Linked DNA regions of Drosophila melanogaster. The protein of the gene in region 1 interacts with the protein of each later gene in a pairwise test. Each region holds a gene or a part of one and is shown on either strand. Other genes may lie near its edges. The genes, in order: CG14401, CG17985, CG42288 and Prip.

Region 1 (3,756 bases):
ACTTGTTTCTTTCGAATTTGTACTTTGCTTTGCGAGTTCTGCGTTTGCCGCGACCTGTCGGCTGTCCCCGCCTGATCTCATTTCTGCCATAAATAAGACGCGTCTCTGGTCTTCCCATCCCAATGCCACTAGCTTACGCCATCAAGTGCTATGCCTGCGAATCCGTCTACGAGGCTAGTTGCGGCGACGACTTCGAAGTCGAGAACCATTTTAAATACGACTGCGCCTTCATTGCTCCTCCGCGATTCCTGGAGAACGATCTGCTCAGCGTGAATGCCACGGCCTGTTTGAAACGGGTATTCAAGGGTGAGTTTAAACGAATATGTTTCTCAAAACACGTTCCTACGGATTTGAAGCCTTGCTAGGATAGTAACTTTAATAGTTATGAATCAATAGGTATAGTAAAAAGAAAAGAAAGTTTGAAATATAAGATTAAAAAGTGGATATATCGTAATTCACCAAAAATGTATCTATCCACCAGATATTTTTTTAAAGTAATTGTTCATTAATTACAAATACAGTCCGATTAGCAGCGGACAAAAAAAGTGTGTTCCGAAAGGTAAATGTCTGTATACTCATTAAACATTCGCAATGTTGTCCGTCCGAGATTTGTATTTACTCTTCAGATAATAATTTCTTTAATGATTTGTGACGCAAATCAAAACAAATAAAATTAATTATGTGAAACAGTCATACATACATTCATAGACATACGTGCATATACGGACAGCTGTGACCTTATTTCAGAAGAATCTCGTAGACTTTCCAACAATCTCTTGATATTTTGGACAATACGTACACATTTCGTATAAGCCCATTAAAGACGGACAATAAAAAATGTGTTTATTTACGATAAGTCAGCCCGAAAGTAGACTAACCCAATGTTTTGCCTCTGCAGAAAACGGCGTGCGTAAGATCGTCAGAGGCTGCTACTTCGGCGAGGTAAATGCCACCGATGTGTGGTGCAAAATGGACCCCACCCTGTCGGCGGTGCAGAACTCAAGTTGTCATGTGTGCGACAGCGAGAACTACTGCAACGGATCGGAAAATCATCCAGTGGATAAATGGAAAATCTTCGGCAGTCTGGTCTTGTTTCTCTTGGCAACTCAACTACTCTGAGGCGACAGGAGACGAAGTGGAAATGTGGAAATGTGGAGCGTGAAATGAACATTAAAAGGCACAGTAGCTTAAGTAAACCTAGTTCAATTTAGATGTATTCCCAAGGCCCAGGACTATCAATTAGTAAAGCCCACATTAGTAGAGCACACCATCCACAAAACCGTTTAGCCAAATCTGCCCGGCCCACTGTATTAATGGCTAATCAACGCCGAACATGGCGTATGAGCAACATCAGCACACCGAAATGAGCCGAAAAGCTGGCAAACAAATTTCGAACGATCCAAATACAAACTAATAAAAACTAATTTTACACAGAATGCCAAATTGTTTATTTGTTCAAATGCCACTAATGAACCTTGCCTGAAATAAATGGATTGGCGAGGAAAGGGCAAAGGGAATGGCAGGGCAGGGTAGGGCAAGGCAGAGCACGATGTCAACACGCATTGGCCAGGGAAAAGCCAACGATGGAGAAGTGAAAATGTGAAAAAATCTGTTATGAAAATCAAATTCACATTCTGAATGCGATTGTTCGCACGTTCAGTTCAGTTTCTGTTTAGTTCAGTCGCGTGTGTGCATCGCTTCGAGTCGGTGGTCGGTGGTCGGTGGTCGGTGGTCGTTGGTCGGCGGCTTGTGGCTATATAGCGCATCTATCATGTGATTAAAATCGGTCCGGCAACCGAGAAGACAACATCTGTATTCGCGCACGTATCGGCATCGCCAAGCTATAGCTATAGCCATACTGACTCACCGCGACCGCCGGACGACAGTGGAATCAACTGTTTTCGGGGGCGGTACGATGGCGATGATGGCAGCGCTTGCCTCGCTCTTTCTGCTCGTCACGCTGGCCAGCTCAGGTGAGATTCTCGATTCGCGCCCGCCACTCATCACATTCCTGCCCCGAAATTGTAGTTCATATTTTGAAATATCTCAGAAGCAGAAGACTGTCAACACGATTTATTGCGAATCAGTGAATTTAGGGTTTTACCGACTGTTTTGCGGGAAACTGTTCAGTAAAGAAAAACATATAAACAGCTTTCTTTGTTTATTTCATTGTTTACGTATAGAGTCTAAAAAGTTCAAGAATTATATTACAAATTTTAATTAACTTACATCTGAAAAGAAATTAACGTTTTGGAACATTAAGAATGGTTTTAAAGCTAATTGTTTACTTTAAGATAAAGATAAGGTCTACCAAAATGCTCATCCATTGTTTTCCTTTCTGTGCACTCTCGTGGACACACATTTTTACGGATGTCGTCATCAGCCCGTGCCATTACCTGCTACGAATGTGATTCCGTCAATAATCCAGGGTGTGGGGAGCGATTTGTGGGCGATGACATATCCACGACGGATTGCGATGTGGTGGCGAACATGCGATCCCTGGGAGCGGAGGCCACTTGCCTTACCAAGTACCATGAGGGAAGTGAGTATACGAGTATGGTTTCTGGAAAATATGTCAAGGAAATCCCTTATAAAATGACTCACTTTTCGCAGTGCCAGGAGACACGCGCTTCGTGAGGCGCTCCTGTTACTTTGGCGATGCCTCCCCAATAGGCGTCAGTTGCGACGATGGACCAGATCCTGTGGTGCCCTTTATGAACTTCCTCGGCTGCACACTGTGCGATACGGATTTGTGCAACGCAGCCGCTGGATTATCCACACTACCCTTGGTCATTGCCCTTTCGATACTCGGACTGCTTGTCCTACTGGCGACCTAAGGAAGATGAGTCGCGTGGAACGGCGGCGGTCGTATTTCAATGTTTCCTATTAAAAGTAATATACTCCAGTATTGTATAAAAGATTGTTGTTTTCTTGGTCGACTAACTAACATGACTTCTTATACTCATGCAAAGGGCGCAGAACAAGAACGACCCAAAGTTTATCCTTATATTCTTAATTTTCTAAGGCAAATGGCTTAAGTTATAAAAAGCCTACTGAATATGTAATAAATTTAACTTAAAGCCCCTAGAAGAATGAAATAGAAGCAAATATTTTTTAATTTTTATTTTATTTGATTTTCTTTCCATTGTTTTTATACATCCACTAAAATGATTTAACATACATATATATTTATATAATTATACTTGTTTGATTTAATATAATTTATTGAATAAAATTTACTCGTTTCCTACTCTACTAGCGTGTGTATGTAAGTATGTGTATGTGTGTATTGCAATTAGGATCATTAATTACAAAATATTCATAAAATAAATTAAAATAACACTTTCAAATCGATACACACAATTTCTGTTTCAATATCTAGTCCATTGATTTCTTGATCGTCAAACAATTCTAGTTTTACATTTATTTCCAGTTTATAGCATAAATTATTTTATGTAGGCAAACAGATAACATCTTTGCTTATTATCTTAATGGGTTTAGCTGCGGATTATATTCATAACACTTCTGGGCTACACATAAATAACATTCAAATATAAATATATGGATATTTATCAAGATATTGTATATAAACTACACATTGAGAACAATTCAGATAGAAAACAATTTATGTACAAAAGATTGTGTTTGTTTTTGCTTCACCAATACTGTCCATGCTGGCGTTGTCCGGCGGAATCTCTACGATCCCAGCGAGGACCACTGCCGCGTCAATGCCACAAACAATCGTCGTCCATCTTT
Region 2 (5,922 bases), on another chromosome or scaffold:
ATAGCGACAAGAAGCCGAAACCGTCAAACTTTACAAAGAGCGAAAATGTTGCATACTGCCGAAATGAACCTAAACTTTTGGACCGAAGGCTCGGGTTAAAATGTAATGGATATACACGTCTATTTTAAACAAATGATGTAGAAATTGCCCCTAACCGGTTTCGGGGTACGTAAGTTTGAACGCACACAAGCCCTGAGCTTTCAACTCTTATTAGTCGGCCACGTTAAAATAACTAAAACAAGACAAGTGGAATTGTGTAGACTGTAAGAAACTGAAAATTTATGCGAAGTAACAGAGGGATTGTCAGAAACATATTTCACAATACGAACTATTGTATTTTAATCATCGTTGGCTTCGTCCACTTTTCACTGACTGCCCAAAGCCACTTTGCCGTTTGGGTGTCGGTGGCAGCCGGCGCCATTTCCTTCAGTTTGCAGTCGCTGAAGTATTGTCCTGTCACCTTTTCTAGCTCGGGATCCAGAGCAACATACAACGAGGTCTGAGCACCATTTCTCGGAGTCTTAACAAAGGGCCAAAACAAAGGCTTAACAAAGAGTCTGAAAAGATAAGTATTTCGTAAAAAAGGTTTTAATGGCATTACTTCTCTACAAACCCAGCAAAAAAATTATTGAAGAATCCCATGTGCCTGATTATTTCTGTGTCCACCACACCTGGATGCAGGGCATTCGCCGTTACGTTGGTGCCCTCTAATCGTTTGGCCAACTCCCTTGTGAAGAGTACATTGGCCAACTTGCTCTGGCTGTAGGCCTTGCCTTCATCGTAGGATTTGTCACTGTTCAGATCGCCAGTGTTTATTTCTCCTCGAGTGTGTGCCAAACTGGATACATTTACAATCCGACTGGGTGAGGATTTCTAGGAATAAAATGGTTATTAATCAGATTTAAGATCTAGTAAAGCTGTGTGGTACCTTGAGTAGATCCAACAGTAAATTGGTAAGCAGGAAATGACCCATGTGATTAACCCCCAGCTGAAGTTCGATGCCATCTGAGGTGAGAGATCTGGGACAGCGCATAACACCGGCGTTGTTGATCAGTACGTGCAGGTGCTCCTGTTCCCTCTTGAAGCTGCGGAGATGGATTGCGGAATAAACACAACTTAGGCCTTAGGTAGACTTACGCGGCAACAAAGTGACGGATGGACTCCTGGGAAGCCAGGTCACATTGCCGGCAGTACACATATTTGTTCTTCGTTTCCAGCACGATTTCCTCGCGAGCCTGCACGCGAGAAGTATTTAGTCGTGTTTTAGGAAATTATCTCAATAAAGATCGTACCTCCTCACATTTCTTTAGGTTTCTGCATGCCATGTAGACGGTGCCACCTCGCTTCGCAATCTCTCTCACCGTCTCCTTGCCGATCCCCGTGTTGGCACCGGTGACAATAAACACCTTGCCGGTCTCATTGGTTTCTTTGGTGAACTGACCGCCTTGCATAAGATCCCTGTGAGGCGGTATAAAATGTGTAGTCAAAACAAGGGAATTCTGTGTGAGAAGCAGATCACTCACTTCACGAAGAAGGCCAGTCCCGTCGTCGTGCCGGTGAAGCTCAGCCAGAACGCAGTGCGGCTCTTGAGAAACGCAAATAGTGACATTTTAGGAACTCAAAAAATATACAAATTAGCTAATAAACGAAAACAGCTGTGTTTACCCTGTTAAGGCTAACAGCGCTCGTTAACAGAGTCCTATCGATATTTTCGGTCATCTGTGACGGAGCTTTCCCTTTGTTGTTGTTCGTGGGCTGCTGCTTAGAACAAACTTTACACGTAAATAATCTAATTGCGTTAATTAACTGGCTTGAGCTAAACAACGACGTGCGATTTGATCGAGGGAAGGAACGTAGTTGAGATCTGGGCCAGGAAATCCCGACTAGGCAAGCAGGAAAACAATGCGTCGCAATGCGTAAGTCAGCGCCAACTCGACTGTTGCTTTTTCCAAGAGATCCGAATGTGATCGGAGTTCTCCCCTCATCTTCAGGCGCCAACAACAACACAATCAGGAAGAAATCGGCCCCGACGACGTGGAAGACATCTTTGCCCGTCCCGCCTACGATGACGACGAGTTCGAAGATCTGCTCCCTCTGGCCAGGAGGCCCAATGGCCACGCCCGACTCGGCCGCTACGAGAACACTCTGGAGGTAAAGGTCCAAGAGGGAGACACACTCCAGGCGCTGGCCCTGCGCTTTCACTCCTCTGTGGCGGACATCAAGCGCCTGAACAAGATCGACCGCGAAAATGAAATCCACGCACATCGGGTTATTCGCATTCCGGTTACAGTGCACAACGTCCTGCTGGGCAACGGGGGCCTCGAAGCCCTTCCTGCGGTCCACCGCAGCGGGAACAACAGTCCTAGACACAATATTGAGCGGGAACCAGCTCCCGAACGCAATCCCCTCGAGGATGCGCGGCAAATGCTGGATGAGCGACTCCTGGTGGCGGCGGTAAATGCTTCAGGCGCCGTGGATCACGAGAAACCATCGACGAGCAGAGCTGCTGGACAATTCTACGAGGGAGCCCAGGGTGCGCCGAATGACGAAGGTGAGTACAGAAGATGCAGTTGGGAATGAAAGCCCACAGTTCGCCGCGGTTTTAAAAATTTCTGAAATACTTTCACTGTTGGTGAAGAAAGGTCAGTGCTGATTTCAGTGCGAGTGTACATATATATTATTTAATTTAAAAATAAAAGTACAGGTAAGGTAAAGGGTGCAGAATGTATGTTTACTTATCAATCAAGCAATATCAGTACTTTAAAAATAACAAAGTTTCTTATCTATTTCAATTCAAATATCTACCAATTTTGAACTAAAACACATGCATGGAAATTCGCAACATGCTCTAAGATAAGATAAGAAATATAACAGCATTTAGACATTTTATGTGTTAAAAATTTAAGCTCCAGTTACTAATTAGTATATTTCCAATTGAAATACCATAAAATAATTTTGGGAAAAGTTTAAGATTTGTATTTTAACAGTAGAAGTTAAAAGTGGCTACACATCGATAGTTCCCAGTGTTAAAGTCAGTGTTGGGAAAGCATGTATCGATTCGTCGATAGCGCTAGCGGTGCTTCTCCCATCTCTATGCCAAATTGTTCAGTCATTCTCGCCGTAAAACAAAAGGAAAACATCGCATAAACTCATTTTTTGCCTTAAAAACCGTACAATTGCAATCGAATAAGATGCCGGACTACCTGGGCGACGACCAGCGCAAGGTGAAGCACGATGAGAAGGAGGACAAGGAGATCAAGTCCCTCGACGAAGGCGACATTGAGCTTCTAAAGACTTATGGGCAGAGCCAGTATCACAAATCCATCAAGAGCATCGAGGAGGACATTCAAAAGGCTGTGAAGCAGGTGAACGAGCTGACTGGAATCAAGGAAAGCGACACGGGTCTGGCGCCACCAGCGCTCTGGGATTTGGCCGCCGACAAGCAGATCCTGCAAAACGAGCAACCGCTGCAGGTTGCCCGATGCACCAAGATCATCAACGCGGATTCCGACGACCCCAAGTATATCATCAATGTTAAGCAGTTCGCCAAGTTCGTGGTGGACCTAGCTGACTCGGTGGCCCCTACTGACATAGAAGAGGGAATGCGTGTGGGTGTCGACCGCAACAAGTACCAGATCCACATTCCGCTGCCTCCCAAGATTGATCCTACGGTTACCATGATGCAGGTTGAGGACAAGCCGGACGTCACCTACAGCGATGTGGGCGGCTGCAAGGAACAAATCGAAAAGCTGCGCGAGGTGGTGGAGACGCCACTGCTGCACCCGGAAAAGTTCGTCAATCTGGGTATTGAGCCGCCCAAAGGTGTGCTACTGTTTGGCCCACCGGGAACGGGAAAGACCCTGTGTGCCCGCGCCGTTGCCAACCGCACGGACGCTTGCTTTATCCGCGTCATTGGCTCTGAGCTGGTGCAAAAGTACGTGGGTGAGGGCGCTCGTATGGTGCGCGAGCTCTTCGAAATGGCGCGTTCCAAAAAGGCTTGTCTCATCTTCTTCGACGAAATTGATGCTATCGGTGGTGCCCGATTCGACGATGGGGCCGGCGGCGACAACGAGGTGCAGCGCACCATGTTGGAGCTGATTAACCAACTGGATGGCTTCGATCCGCGCGGAAATATCAAGGTGCTGATGGCCACCAACCGACCCGACACGTTGGATCCGGCGCTCATGCGTCCCGGTCGTCTGGACCGAAAGGTGGAGTTCGGCCTGCCTGACCAGGACGGTCGCTCGCACATCTTTAAGATTCACGCCCGCTCCATGTCCGTGGAGCGAGATATTCGCTTCGATCTGCTGGCGCGTCTATGTCCCAACTCGACTGGTGCTGAGATCCGGTCAGTATGCACGGAAGCGGGCATGTTCGCCATTCGGGCGCGTCGCAAGGTGGCCACAGAGAAGGATTTCCTCGAAGCCGTCAAGAAGGTTATCAAGAGCTACGCCAAGTTCAGCGCCACTCCACGCTACATGACCTACAACTAAGTTACATTTATTGGCACTATTCTGTATCCTCTGCAAACTGTAACACTGCAGCTGGCAATTTATTAAATAAAGCGAAATCTATACCTCCACCAACTGAAAACTGAGGTGTTTTATATATTTTATAAATCTTGTTTGCAATGTCTTTTAATTGCGTAATCATGATCTCTTAACTTTGTCTACAGCCAATATGGAGCAACCCTACGAGGAAAATGCCGCTCTGCTTAACCACATGGTGGACAGGCACGCTCCGCTAGTGCGTCCCATCCCTGGACCCTCTTTGAGTGCCATCGACTGGTCCGGATCGGACTGCGACTTGTCTTGGATATGTCTGCTGATCTTCATACTCGCCTTGTGTGTCGTCATACCCTTGGTCTACGTCATCTACCTAGCAGAGCATCCACATCACAACCATAGTGCCCAGTAGTTGGGTAATGTCTGCACCCGAAGTGGTCATCATTCCAAACGGCACCCCCTCACCCGGCACCCTGTCAATCTCTCAGATGAGCCTGGCGCATTTCAAATGCAACCCCAGGCGACGGAATTTATTTTTATACCTATGCGCGTAACTTTGTATTGACTCTTGATAAAAAAAATAAGGTCTTTGTCGACAGAACTTTTAAATTACCACGATTTGGGTGCTTCCCAGATGCATAGGCTTGTCTATGCGCCACATAACTTCTGGCAGCACCAATTGCAGGATTCTAAGATCCGATTGTGCTGTGAATATAAATCGTAACCCCGCCGTTTTGCTTTTCTATATGTTTTATTGAGTACAATTATGTAACATTTAAACTACAATAGTACGGGTAAGGTGTAACATTATTCAGCTGAAGTTGGGATAGTTTCTCTTACGCCAAAAAAGTACGTAATACATATCTTAGAGCTAAATAAATAGTATCCATGGATATAAGAATTATGTAATACTAAATACGAACTACAATTAACAATGGCGCATGCTAACGGCCAACTGAACTTAAGTACTTTTTTTCCGTGATGTTTCGACTGGGAAATGGAGGCCATGGCACATGGTATTTGGCGAAGATTTGGTTTGGATTATGGCCGGATTGGTGCTTTGCCATTGTCGTAAATTTTCCCCTCCGGGAAGATCAACTAAGGGTCGCACCCAACAAGACTGTATTCGCATATTCACTTGAACTTTAAATTCTCAAAGAAAGCAATATTGCTCCGGAGGAATCCGTGGCGCACGGGCACAGGACTCGCCGGTGAGGCTATAGGTGGAGTGGCCTCCGAATGTATAGAAGGATCCCTGAAATGAGATGAAATGTAGAATAGTAATAGCTCGACCAAGGTTCTCTAAAGAGCTAACGTTTCGAGTGATGATAAGTCCGAGGCGATCGTAGACTCATCGGCTACTTCTGCCATGGAGACGGCGTGCTCCAGTTTGTGCCGCTTGGCCAGTGACGTGTTC
Region 3 (3,307 bases), on another chromosome or scaffold:
ATTCCAATGATGTCATATTCTTTAGTTTGCAGCATGAACAACTTAATTAGCCCTTGCTATCTTTCAACAAAACACAAACAACATGCTTCCATAAACTTTAATCGCAATTCACATTGCATGCTTATGTAACTCAGGATATTATTCCCCACAAACAAATATCCCCAAAAAATGGTTAAAGCACGCTCAGCTTTCGGTTCCCACACAACCGATCAGAATTTACAACATAATTTACTAAGCTGCACGCTGACAGTGGAACCAGAGCGGCCACGCCCCCTTGCCAAAAAGCCAAAAACAAGGCAATGTCTGTCACTTGACGCGCTGAATTTGAATTGGCCGAAACGAAAACGGAACCGGCACGAAAGACCCGGCCATGCAATTAGCTGGAGGTCATTGTGTTCGGTTCAGCGAAGTTCATTTCAGTTCAGTTCAGTTCAGTTCGATTCGAATCGATACCAGTGTGATTTCAAATCCAGTTCGGTTTCAGTTTGGGTATCGCCCAGAGTTTCCGTTTGCAATTTTGCGGTTTCAATATTGAATTGGGCGAGGCCCCCGCATTGCATTTACGCTTGACAATGTTTCGACAGCAATTTGCTCAACAAATTGCGATTAAATGTATACAATTGATTGACCATTGTTTGGCTTTCATTAGCACAAAGGAGCGGGGAAGTGCCTTTCATTCGGTGAGTAATTTGACGGCATTATAAGGGCAAATAACCGCTGATCTTGACCCCCTGACCACGCATTTACTCATATTTCAAACTAAGTAACATATGTGAATATGTTAACACGTAGTTCTCCTAATCTGTTGGCCATTGAAAAACTAACCTTCCTTGTGACTGACACTTTTTTTTTGCCTCCCCTTGACAGACTGCCATTCAATTGTCAAATATCTTTGGATCTGCAGCGTCACGATTTCCAACTGGGCGCACGACCTCAGACATTGCAGTTGCCGATAAATTGCATTGAACTTCAAAAATTGAAACTTCACGAGGGCCATTTGGCAGCCATTCGAGGGCGGCTGAGGGGGCGTGGTCGTTTTTATGTTGTAAGGGCACGTGTCAGCCTTTGGCTGCATAAAAATTTCAATCAACAACATCTGTTGAAAAATTGCATTGCGATTCCACAGTAATTGGTTTTTTGTGTGATTCAATGCAAAATGCATTTAGTTTGATTGTGAATTTGTGTCTTTTAAGGATTTTGATCCTTAATCTTAGTGCAAGATTATTATTGATTCAAATATTAAATAACTAACGCAAAAATTTTACGATCAACTGTTCCTTGCATTCTGTTGTTTTGGGCGAAATTCATGTAAAAAAAAATCACAAATTTCTGTAGCGGCATGTTTTTTAAAAAGTGCTGCTTTTTCCTGCCCCTCAACGTGGGTTGCATAATCATTGGAGCCATCTTCATAACATTTCACGTTGGGGAGCTGATAACGCATTCGGATGACACCATTTTCATCAAGCAAGTGTCCCACAAATGGTGGGCACCCGTCATCATGTCTCCGATCCTGACAATTGGAACTCTGAGCTCTATACTCCTTGTGTATGCTGCTTCGAAGGTAAGAGATTCAATTGGTTTCTTTCAAGATTCTAATGCTTTATAACATTACAAATGCAGAGCAAGCGAGGCTTTGTCCTTATGTGGATTATCATCTATGCAATTATACTATCCCTATATTTCCTAATGGCCGTTGTCCAGTTGGCCAGGTCGAAACCTTCGCCGATTATATTGGCCGTTCAGGTGTTCATCATAGGTGGGTGTTGGCCATTTTTGATTGAATATGTCTGAATAATGTCTTGATTTTCATACCCCCTAGTTGGTCTCGTTTATTCCCTGCTAATAGTGCTGGCTTTTTATCGATATTTGAGCAGTGTGGATTCTGACGATTCAATTTGATGAGTTGTAAAATAAATGTTAAACTAACGTGTAACTGAATTTAACTGATCTAGTTTACTTCTTTCAGTGTGTCCCTTTTATACAAACTAGATTTTCAACAAATTTCAGTTTCTCAGGAAAGCTTTGAAAATTGTTGTTTAAAACTTGCAGTGCGGCTGAGGATCGGATCAATCATGGCCTGTCGCTGCAAATATCTGAAGCAGATCTTTACCAAGTGCTGCTACTGCTATTCCCTGCGTTTCGGTGTGCTGCTCTTCGGATGCATTTTTCTAACCTGGTTCATTTACATCACCATCGGCACCGGCTTCATGATGGAGTGCATCTTTCCGAACGAGTATCAGAGGTCCCTTATCCCAGCACCGGCGGCCCTCAAGGCCACCATGGTCTTCTCCTTCTTCGGCATCATAGTTTCGGCCATGCTCTGCCTGGGAGTGCACAATGTATGTGATCTGTCTATTATAAATATTCCCAATATATTTAGCATATGCTTATAATACCTCATAATTTTGTAGAACAACGAGATGCTCTTCCTGCCATTTTTGGTTTTCACACCCATTTGGATAATTGTGCACATTTTTGCCCTGACCGTTTACAGCTTTAATACCATCATCATCATCCTGACTGTCATCACAATGTGTGGGTACCCCCAATAATCATGAATCTAAAGCCTAAATTAAGTATACTATTTAATGTTTTATAGTACTTTTAGTGTATGCCTGGCTGGTGGTTTGGTCCTACTACATAGAACTGCTCTTCGCCTACGAAGATGAACTGGAAACCGGTTATGTGTAATAATAGTAATAATAATGATATTTACAAATTTTAGTATGTTGAGCAAGCATTTGATGTGCCTAATAAAATAATGCATGTAGGATACAGAAATACAGATCATAATTTCGCTTGAGCAGAACTCCATACTATGTGAAGTAGACCCCATTTCGGATGTACATATTTCTCCCCGTTTAGTGAGTATTTAGCGCACATGAGACATGCCCGTGCTCTATATACACCGAAAAGACAATGGGTATCGCAGTGGTAATGACAGTGACCGACTTACCTTCGGCAGCGAGGCGAGCACCTGCTGCTTGACATCCCAAACGAGCCGCTCCGATGGGAACTGCAGACACTTGTAGACATTCAGCTCCGGCACATGGATGCGCACCAGTAGCCATCCGTCCCGCGGCTCCGGCGGCGGCTCATCGTCAAACGCACCCGACCCGGACATGGCGTCCGTATTGGCCGGGTTCTGTTTGACTTTGGGCGTGGGTGGGTGGTATGTCGTAATTTTGACGGCTTTCTATCGCACGGTCCACGAAAAAAAAACGAAGCTACTCCCGCTCCACTGGGAGATCTCCTTCTAGCCGTTCTATTCGCTTAATTTGCTCTTTCCTTATTTGGTTGCACTTCA
Region 4 (7,732 bases), on another chromosome or scaffold:
CCCAGGCATATTTTTGATAAAACTGGGCTGAGCACATGTAGTTGAATCACAAAATGTCGTCGTTTTCGATAAACGCACTAATTAATCATCCGAAAATTTACATAATTAACTATTCTTTGTTAAGCTATAAAATTTCAGTAACTATGATTTAAGAAATGTAACATAAGAAAATAATATGTTGAATAAAAGAGAAACTCTATAAATAAATAACTACAACGCTTGTCAGTTTAGAATGCGAATGATCATTACAATTAACTAGGAGGTTTCTATCAATCCGATTCGGAGTGAAGTGTATTAGTATTTTTGTACCCGTATCAGCACGTGTTGCATTCAACCGCCTTATTCTTATTTAACTTGTTATCAGTATTAAACCCGTTATTATCTATAACTAATAGTGAAGTACACATAGCCTATACTATAATGTTTCTAATCAGGAAACCTTAAGATAAAGCTAAGTGGTATTTTTAATCTAAGCCAAATTCGCTAGTCTAAAGACGTGACATTAACTTTAAAACCAGGAATGACCTTTTCAGACTCGTCTACACACAATATAATTTTAAATATTACACACTTTTTGGCGAATTTACCCTAATAATTAGCCATTTTATGATTATGATAATAATGAAAATAAAATTAAAATAAAATAAAATAGTTTATAATAATAAAAATAATGTTATATATAAAGGTCGAACAGTTTCAGACCATAATGTAAGCAAACTATACATACAAAGTGTGCCTACGTTGTTTTCGGTGTACTATCTCGATCATTTCTACTCTTATATTTGACTTATACGATTACACTTTATTTTACACCAAGCTCACAGTCATAAAATTGTGATTATACGCATTTATGAGGGCCTCATAAAAGTGTGCTTGGATTTGTGATCTGCGATTTTGCGGTTATTAATTTAAAATGGCAAATATACTTCGAAGACAACACCCATAAAGATAAAGTGAATTTGATTTTACGTCAAAATGTCATGGAAAAGTTCGGTATTCTCTGCTTGGAGTACACTAAATTAATTAAAGAAATTGTTTGTGAAGACATGATTTCTGGGCCGATTTCTCTGATAAGAACACCGAAAAGCAACGGAAACTTTTCTGCAAGCGTCACTGTCTGACGTGAATGATGGGTGGGTGTAAATATTACCCCTAAATAACTATTTGCAGTCCATAAATTTACTGATTGGTCGGAATTTTCAATTTAATATTTTTGCATGGTTTGTGTCTTGGCTGACGCGTGTGGGGTGTGGTGAGTTTCGGTGCCTGGCATGTTGTGTTTTTAAGCGGTGCGCCCGCGCAGCTAAACAATTTCGAATTCATTCCCTTTCAAAACTTTGGATAGTGCAATTAAATTAAATCGATGAAGAATTTGATATATATATCTATAAACGAATAAGTTCTCTGATTAACTTTCTTATACTTACGCATAAAGCTTATATTAAAGCGTATAGAATGTAAACATAAAAGCTCATAAAAACTAATTTGTTTTTAATAATTAGTTACACATTTATATAAACATTTAGTTAATACGCATAATTACATTATTTAGTTTTTTATAATTTAATTAATATAAATGTGCGCTCTTCGCATGAATTTATCTCTCTGCCCCTCTCTCTTTATAAATCGCGCTCTTTCTGCGCCATCGTTTTTGGTGCCTTTGGCTTTTTGCTGCCAAATGCGGTCGCGCAGTTTTTGTCGTCGAGTCAAAGTGCGCGGATCACTCCTCGAGTGAGCTAACAATTCCTGCCGAATTGAATTAAATATTTGTTAAGTGCAAGTTAAGGTGTTAGCTGTTGTTGTTGCCGTTAAGTCGAGTTCGTAAGCAGGTGGCAAAGGTGCCAAAGTGAGCTAATAGCAAAACAAGGTAAACTTCTAATTGAAAGTGATCTTGAAAATGCATAAAGTACATAAACTTTAAATGGGCATATCAAAAAGAGAATATTTCAACATATGTGTATTATTAATGTTTTTAATTAAGTTTAGATCTAATCAAATCAGTTATCCTGCAATATTATGCTGTTAATGGTGTATTTATAAGCTTGTAATCGATTTATTTATATTTAGTTTTTGAGTTTAATATAAACTAATGAAATGTAATTGCTTATATAGCTAAATAGTGACAAATTTAATAATTTAAGTTAAGCAAGTATAATTCAAAGTAACTAAAGTTTCTCCCTGTGCACCGAAACTAATGCTGTAATACCGTTTTGCATTTTTTTCTAACCCCTTACTTCGCCATTTATCAAATCTACTTTGATCTGTTTTCCTCTTGTTATGATTTTTGGAATTTTGTGAGACCGCCCCCGCATGTCAATCGTAAAAATATAACAATTTATGTACAATTTTTACTTTTGACCGCCAGCACGATTCTGAGTAATTAAAAGCCGCGAATATAAAATGTTATTCTTGCCAAAAGATGTGTATTTGAAAATTCATACATTTGGGACATTTCATTGTGCTTTTCATTTTGAAACCAGCGTTGCGTGAAACGATGCGGTCGTGCGATCTGTTTAAGCTTTTAAGATTTCTATATGTTTTGGTATTGTGTTCATTGGCTAATTGTTATTTAGGTACGGCAATGCCATGATCCGATGATATGGTAATGGGTCTTACAGAGCTTGGGGCATTCAGTTCGCTTCATATCTGACACTTGTGATTGATGGGTTGACCGCAGCAATTTTCTGGTCTCTGATTTGGTAATTTAAGTGAAGAATGTCCATCAGAAGCCTGGCTTCACTGTGGCCCCGAACACGTGTGGGAGTTTGGGCTATTAACTTTGCAATTGCCTCTGTGTGTGTGTGGTTTCCCCCCACTTTTATCGCTCCTGCCCCTCCCACGTTCGGCGTTGCATACAAATTTAGGGCTTAAGTAAGTTTTATGGCTTTTTAAGTGACAAAGTTGCGGCAAACAATTGCAAACGTCTATATCGCCAAATGCCATCAGGCGACGAACGCAATTGGAGCTAGGCCAGATACAATAGTTCAAAAACAATGAATATGAAGTCCAGTTCCCTGATTTCAGGCAAAGTTAACAGCTAGTTCCTAAGCTTTAATAGTCTGCATTACATTGTTGTCCCTTAACTTTTTCAAAAAACACTAAAATAGTTAGAGATCATGTGACTGCCATATTGGTAATTACTTTGATGCCAATAAATGCTACTCAAAACGGCAATAGTACCGAAAACACTTGAAAAGTGGTCAAGATAATTTGTATACTCGCTTTTAGAGTCCATAAAAATACATCAAGAAAGCAAAGCCAAAGATATTAGCTCATCAGCTTCAGAAACGGGAGATTTATACCCGTGTTATCGGCATGTTTTTAAATTAATGACGAATGTCTGCGTATGCGGCGATTTTTCTTAACGACATTCTTCAATATTTGCATATAATTAAATTTTATTGGAACACATTTTTAGCCGCCCCTCGGTTCAATTCGGCGAGAGTTCAAGTTCATGAACCCCTTGTTCATACACGTTTCGAAAGTCACAAAAATGCCTCGAATGACGAAAATCAGAACGAAATGCGTTGAAATGCATTCGACTTTGTTGTGTGTGCGAAAATATGTGTGAATTATGTGGATTTTGTTCTCGCCGTTTGTGCTAATTTGTTGAGCAAACTTTTACTTTATTGTTCGGATATTATGCGAATTGGCACGGACCCACTTGTACACTGGCAATTAGCCACATTTGTTGGCGCGCTATTGAAAATTCCAGAATTGGTGAGGGGCATATTGGGTTTCCAATTATAAAACAAGCTTATCATCCATAAATTGCGGCCCGAAATAATCGCAAAGCAAACTTTAATCAGAGCCGATTAATTGCTTAGATTTTTCATTCGAGGACCCAACACCTTGTGGTTGTACATACACCATTTAACCATTCTCATTAGCTGCAACCAAAGTGATAATCAGCACCTGTGAATCCGCACTACGGAATGTCAGTTAGTAGCTGGCCAATTAAAGCATTTCATAGGAACTAATAAAGATTATAATTACATGCTCAAATTGTTGAATCCGTTTTCACAATGCATGATTAACGGTCGATGACAAATATTGAAACTCTCAGGTTTTTACCCCGTTTTCCTCAAACCTCCAGTCAATGGAAATTGTTGTGTGGGTAGATTTTCGCTCTATGGCAAGGCATTCCACTTATCCGTGGGCCCAACCTTAAGTCAACTCAATTACTATTTGATCATCCAGCGCACCCCCTGCACCTCAATTAAGGAATAGAACTCGCTTTTTCATATCAGAGCACTTGAGTCTATTGGCTGATATCGATATGGGGCTCATGCTCGTAGATGACGCAAATGAAACACGAAATTCATTAAGATTGCATTAGAAAAGTAAATACTCGAAGTGATGAACAACTTGAATGCTTTGCGAGCATAGAAAATGGGAATTAACATTGAGCGCTCACTGATTGATTACCAAATGAAATGATATATGCAATATAAATTATTTTATACATACATACTCGTATGTATTTTTAAAGCTCTCGATGTTCTTGATGTGTGGGGGCATGGCCAACAAGTCTTAGCCCATTTTTGGGCCTGTTCGTGACCGCGTTGCGCCAAATAAGAAGAGCAAAGCAAACGCTTTCCACTGATGCCACTCTAGAACACTCTAAAAAAAAACCAGGCCTAATCCCCCCGCGGCTACAAAAACTGCCGGTTAAAAACTCAATTGCGAGTTCTGTTCACTCCTGACGGCGTTGTGCTCAAATATTTACATCGTTTTTATGACCCGTTGCCAATTAAATATTATACACTTTGTTTGTTTTATATATATTCTCACATGCAGCTGCAATTGCTGATAAGCTGGCAGTCGTCGAGTTGAGAGGAGGATTGCCCAGTTACCCACTGGCTGCCTCCAGTTACCCACTTTTAATGACAAGTGCTAAAGTTGAGCATTTAATAAATAAACGTAGATTAAGAATTTTTGGGACACAAGCCTTGAGTTAAATGAAAACCCCTAGACTTTTCCAATTGAAGACCAGACAGAAGTGTCGGCCAATTAGGCATCGTGACGGAAATTGCAGCGGAAATGCAGATTGTCAAAACTGTCACCAAAGGCCAAAACAATATCGCACCTTAAATGAGTGATAAAAGTGGCTAAATACCTGCTGAAGTCGGACAATTGTCCACTTCCATTTTCAAACACATTTCCATTTGCATTTTGGATTGCCATTTGCATTAACTACCAGACATCGTTCACTGATATTTCCGTTGGTCTTTTTTTTCAGTCCGTCAGTTTTAGTTGAAAAGTGAAGCGAAGAAGATGGGAAAATTCGAATACTCACTGGGTCTCAATGAGGTGAGTGCAAATCATACAAAGACAAAGTTTAATCGAAATACCAGTCAGTTATTAAAAATATCATTAAATAATGCTACTTTACTTATTAATTTGTCTTCTAGCTCAAATCCAAGGAGCTGCGATTGTGGCAGGCCTTGATTGGAGAATTCCTTGGCAATTTGATCCTCAATTTCTTTGCCTGCGGCGCATGCACCCAAATTGAGGATGGCACCTTCAAGGCCTTGGCTTTTGGCCTGGCTATCTTCATGGCCATCACGGTGGGTGGCTCGTTAATCTACGACATTATTCATACCCATATTCAACTATATATCCTTGCAGATTGTGGGCCACTTGAGTGGTGGTCATGTGAATCCTGCCGTTACCGCTGGAATGTTGGTCGCAGGACGAATTAGCTTGATCAGAGCCTTTTTCTATGTGGTTTTCCAGTGCTTGGGTGCAATTGCCGGAACTGCAGCGGTTAAGGTAGGCATTACACACATAAATTATTACATACATCTGAGTGAAATTATTAAAACAAAATACTCATCAGATTCCACTATTTCTTATATCATCATCATCAATTATATAGAGGTCGTCATTATGACAAAAAAATCTAACCTATCTTTACTTCTATGGTATATCTACAAAACAGCATTGCCAAAGAAAAGTCATTTGGCTTGTAAGTGTCTCAATCAGAACTGCCAGATTTCAAAATCAAATCCAAAATGTAGTCAATTAAAAAAATGTATAAATAATAATAAATATAAATACTTACTCGTTGTAAGATGATTGTTTGCAATGCTTTTGAGCTTATCTCGCTTTCTTAAAATAACACACTGAGACACATATGTACATACATGTTATTAAGTTTATTATTGTGATTGCCTCACATCCGGTTGCGGTTAAAAATGCCTTGTGTTTTGACCATTACTTTCTTTCGTTGAGTGGATAAATGATACGGGTACGCCAATGTCAAGAAAGTACTTTGATTAAATACTCGTATTTTTCGGTTTTATTTTGTATTAAAAACTACACATTTTAAAAAACAAATGATTTAGTAGAAATCACCAGTTCAATGAATCAACTTAAAATCTAATAGTTTAAAGTATTTTTACATACTCAACAAAACTAAGAGCTATATTTATTTTTAAGATTAAGATATCTAATCTAATCTATCTATCTATCTATATATAAATATTTTTTTTATACCAACACATTAGATTCTCATCGATCAGGACTATTACAATGGCCTGGGTCACACCTCTCTGGCGCCCAATATCACCGAGCTGCAGGGCCTGGGAATCGAGTTCTTCCTGGGACTCCTGCTGGTGCTCGTCGTCTTTGGGGCCTGTGATCCCCACAAGCCCGATTCCCGCTACACGGCGCCCTTGGCCATCGGAATGGCGGTGACCCTGGGTCACTTGGGCACCATCCGCTACACCGGGGCCAGCATGAATCCCGCTCGCACCGTGGGCACCGCCTTTGCCACCGACATCTGGGCGTCGCATTGGGTATACTGGGTGGGACCTGTGCTGGGGGGCGTGGCTGCCGCCCTGCTCTACACCCAGGTCCTGGAGGCGAAGCCCGTGCCAAAGGTTAACGAGGCATCCGAGAAGTACCGAACGCACGCCGATGAACGCGAGGTGAGAGTCAGGTTGATAAGCGCCTGGAGCGAGGAGTCCTTCTACTGATCCGTGATTCCGCCCACCCATTACACACACACACACACACACACACCCATCACACACACAAACACTCACTCACACTTGCATTGTAAATACTCCCGAATTACTTGATTTCAGGGATGCAAACCGAACCACAACCCGAACCATTTGGCATATACATATCTCGCTTAACTATAACTATTAAATGTGTTATGTTTTATCGCTTTAGCAGCAGATATTCGTATACTAAAGATATTACGACCTGCACGCAAAACTAATCTAAACCGCTTTTGTGAACCGAATACGATTGGTTTAGAAACTCTTCAATCCTATCAACCGAACCCGTCCGCCATTTCGATCGGTTTGCATCCCTGTTTAATTAGCTAACTAAATTTTGTATTATTGCAATTTATTTACTTGCAGATGCGCAAACTGGAGGGAGCCCGTGACTACGCCTAGATATAAAGAAATCTTTGCGACTCGAATCTAGGGATACAGATGAAATCTGTGTGTTTAATCCATTCATTTCAGTGTCTAACATAAACATGTCGTGTTCTTCTACGTTCGTGTGTATTTATGTATTTATTCATGCAAAATTCATTTTTAACTAACTAATATTTAATGTGTAAGCTGCCCTAAAATGCAATCTACAACAAAATTACTTGTACTCTCATGCGCTCACAATAAAGTGGAAAACATTAACTGAAACAAACTGGTGTTTATCGATTTTGTATCTTAATATAAAATAAAATATTACTATAAAATTGCTATACCCA

What was found.
Region 2: the proteins of CG14401 (region 1) and CG17985 interact in a two-hybrid assay, tested with the Drosophila melanogaster proteins (one large-scale study listed by BioGRID).
Region 3: the proteins of CG14401 (region 1) and CG42288 interact in a two-hybrid assay, tested with the Drosophila melanogaster proteins (one large-scale study listed by BioGRID).
Region 4: the proteins of CG14401 (region 1) and Prip interact in a two-hybrid assay, tested with the Drosophila melanogaster proteins (one large-scale study listed by BioGRID).

Annotation. Positions count from the first base shown.
Region 1 is NT_033779.5:20,868,219-20,871,974, forward strand, and holds CG14401 (uncharacterized protein), read left to right. Parts: upstream 1-1,635; 5' UTR 1,636-1,915; coding exon 1,916-2,129; intron 2,130-2,383; coding exon 2,384-2,542; coding exon of another isoform or gene 2,543-2,554; intron 2,555-2,613; coding exon 2,614-2,837; 3' UTR 2,838-3,254; downstream 3,255-3,756. Other genes in the region: CG31675 (uncharacterized protein), read left to right, coding at 133-306, 899-1,119.
Region 2 is NT_033778.4:7,651,107-7,657,028, reverse strand, and holds CG17985 (uncharacterized protein), read left to right. Parts: upstream 1-1,726; 5' UTR 1,727-1,902; coding exon 1,903-1,916; exon of another isoform or gene 1,917-1,957; intron 1,958-1,991; coding exon 1,992-2,551; intron 2,552-3,074; exon of another isoform or gene 3,075-3,191; coding exon of another isoform or gene 3,192-4,493; exon of another isoform or gene 4,494-4,589; intron 4,590-4,675; coding exon 4,676-4,917; 3' UTR 4,918-5,404; downstream 5,405-5,922. Other genes in the region: CG30491 (uncharacterized protein), read right to left, coding at 329-557, 614-873, 929-1,085, 1,138-1,235, 1,293-1,458, 1,524-1,609; Rpt1 (regulatory particle triple-A ATPase 1), read left to right, coding at 3,192-4,493.
Region 3 is NT_033778.4:14,089,037-14,092,343, forward strand, and holds CG42288 (uncharacterized protein), read left to right. Parts: upstream 1-1,994; 5' UTR 1,995-2,072; coding exon 2,073-2,339; intron 2,340-2,411; coding exon 2,412-2,535; intron 2,536-2,599; coding exon 2,600-2,691; 3' UTR 2,692-2,778; downstream 2,779-3,307. Other genes in the region: prosap, read right to left, coding at 2,957-3,124; CG42287 (uncharacterized protein), read left to right, coding at 1,340-1,561, 1,621-1,756, 1,820-1,899.
Region 4 is NT_033778.4:11,434,556-11,442,287, forward strand, and holds Prip (prip), read left to right. Parts: upstream 1-1,687; 5' UTR 1,688-1,867; intron 1,868-5,242; 5' UTR 5,243-5,277; coding exon 5,278-5,313; intron 5,314-5,414; coding exon 5,415-5,570; intron 5,571-5,631; coding exon 5,632-5,775; intron 5,776-6,512; coding exon 6,513-6,935; coding exon of another isoform or gene 6,936-6,983; exon of another isoform or gene 6,984-7,065; intron 7,066-7,094; coding exon 7,095-7,148; 3' UTR 7,149-7,185; coding exon of another isoform or gene 7,186-7,206; 3' UTR 7,207-7,317; intron 7,318-7,379; coding exon of another isoform or gene 7,380-7,415; 3' UTR 7,416-7,661; downstream 7,662-7,732.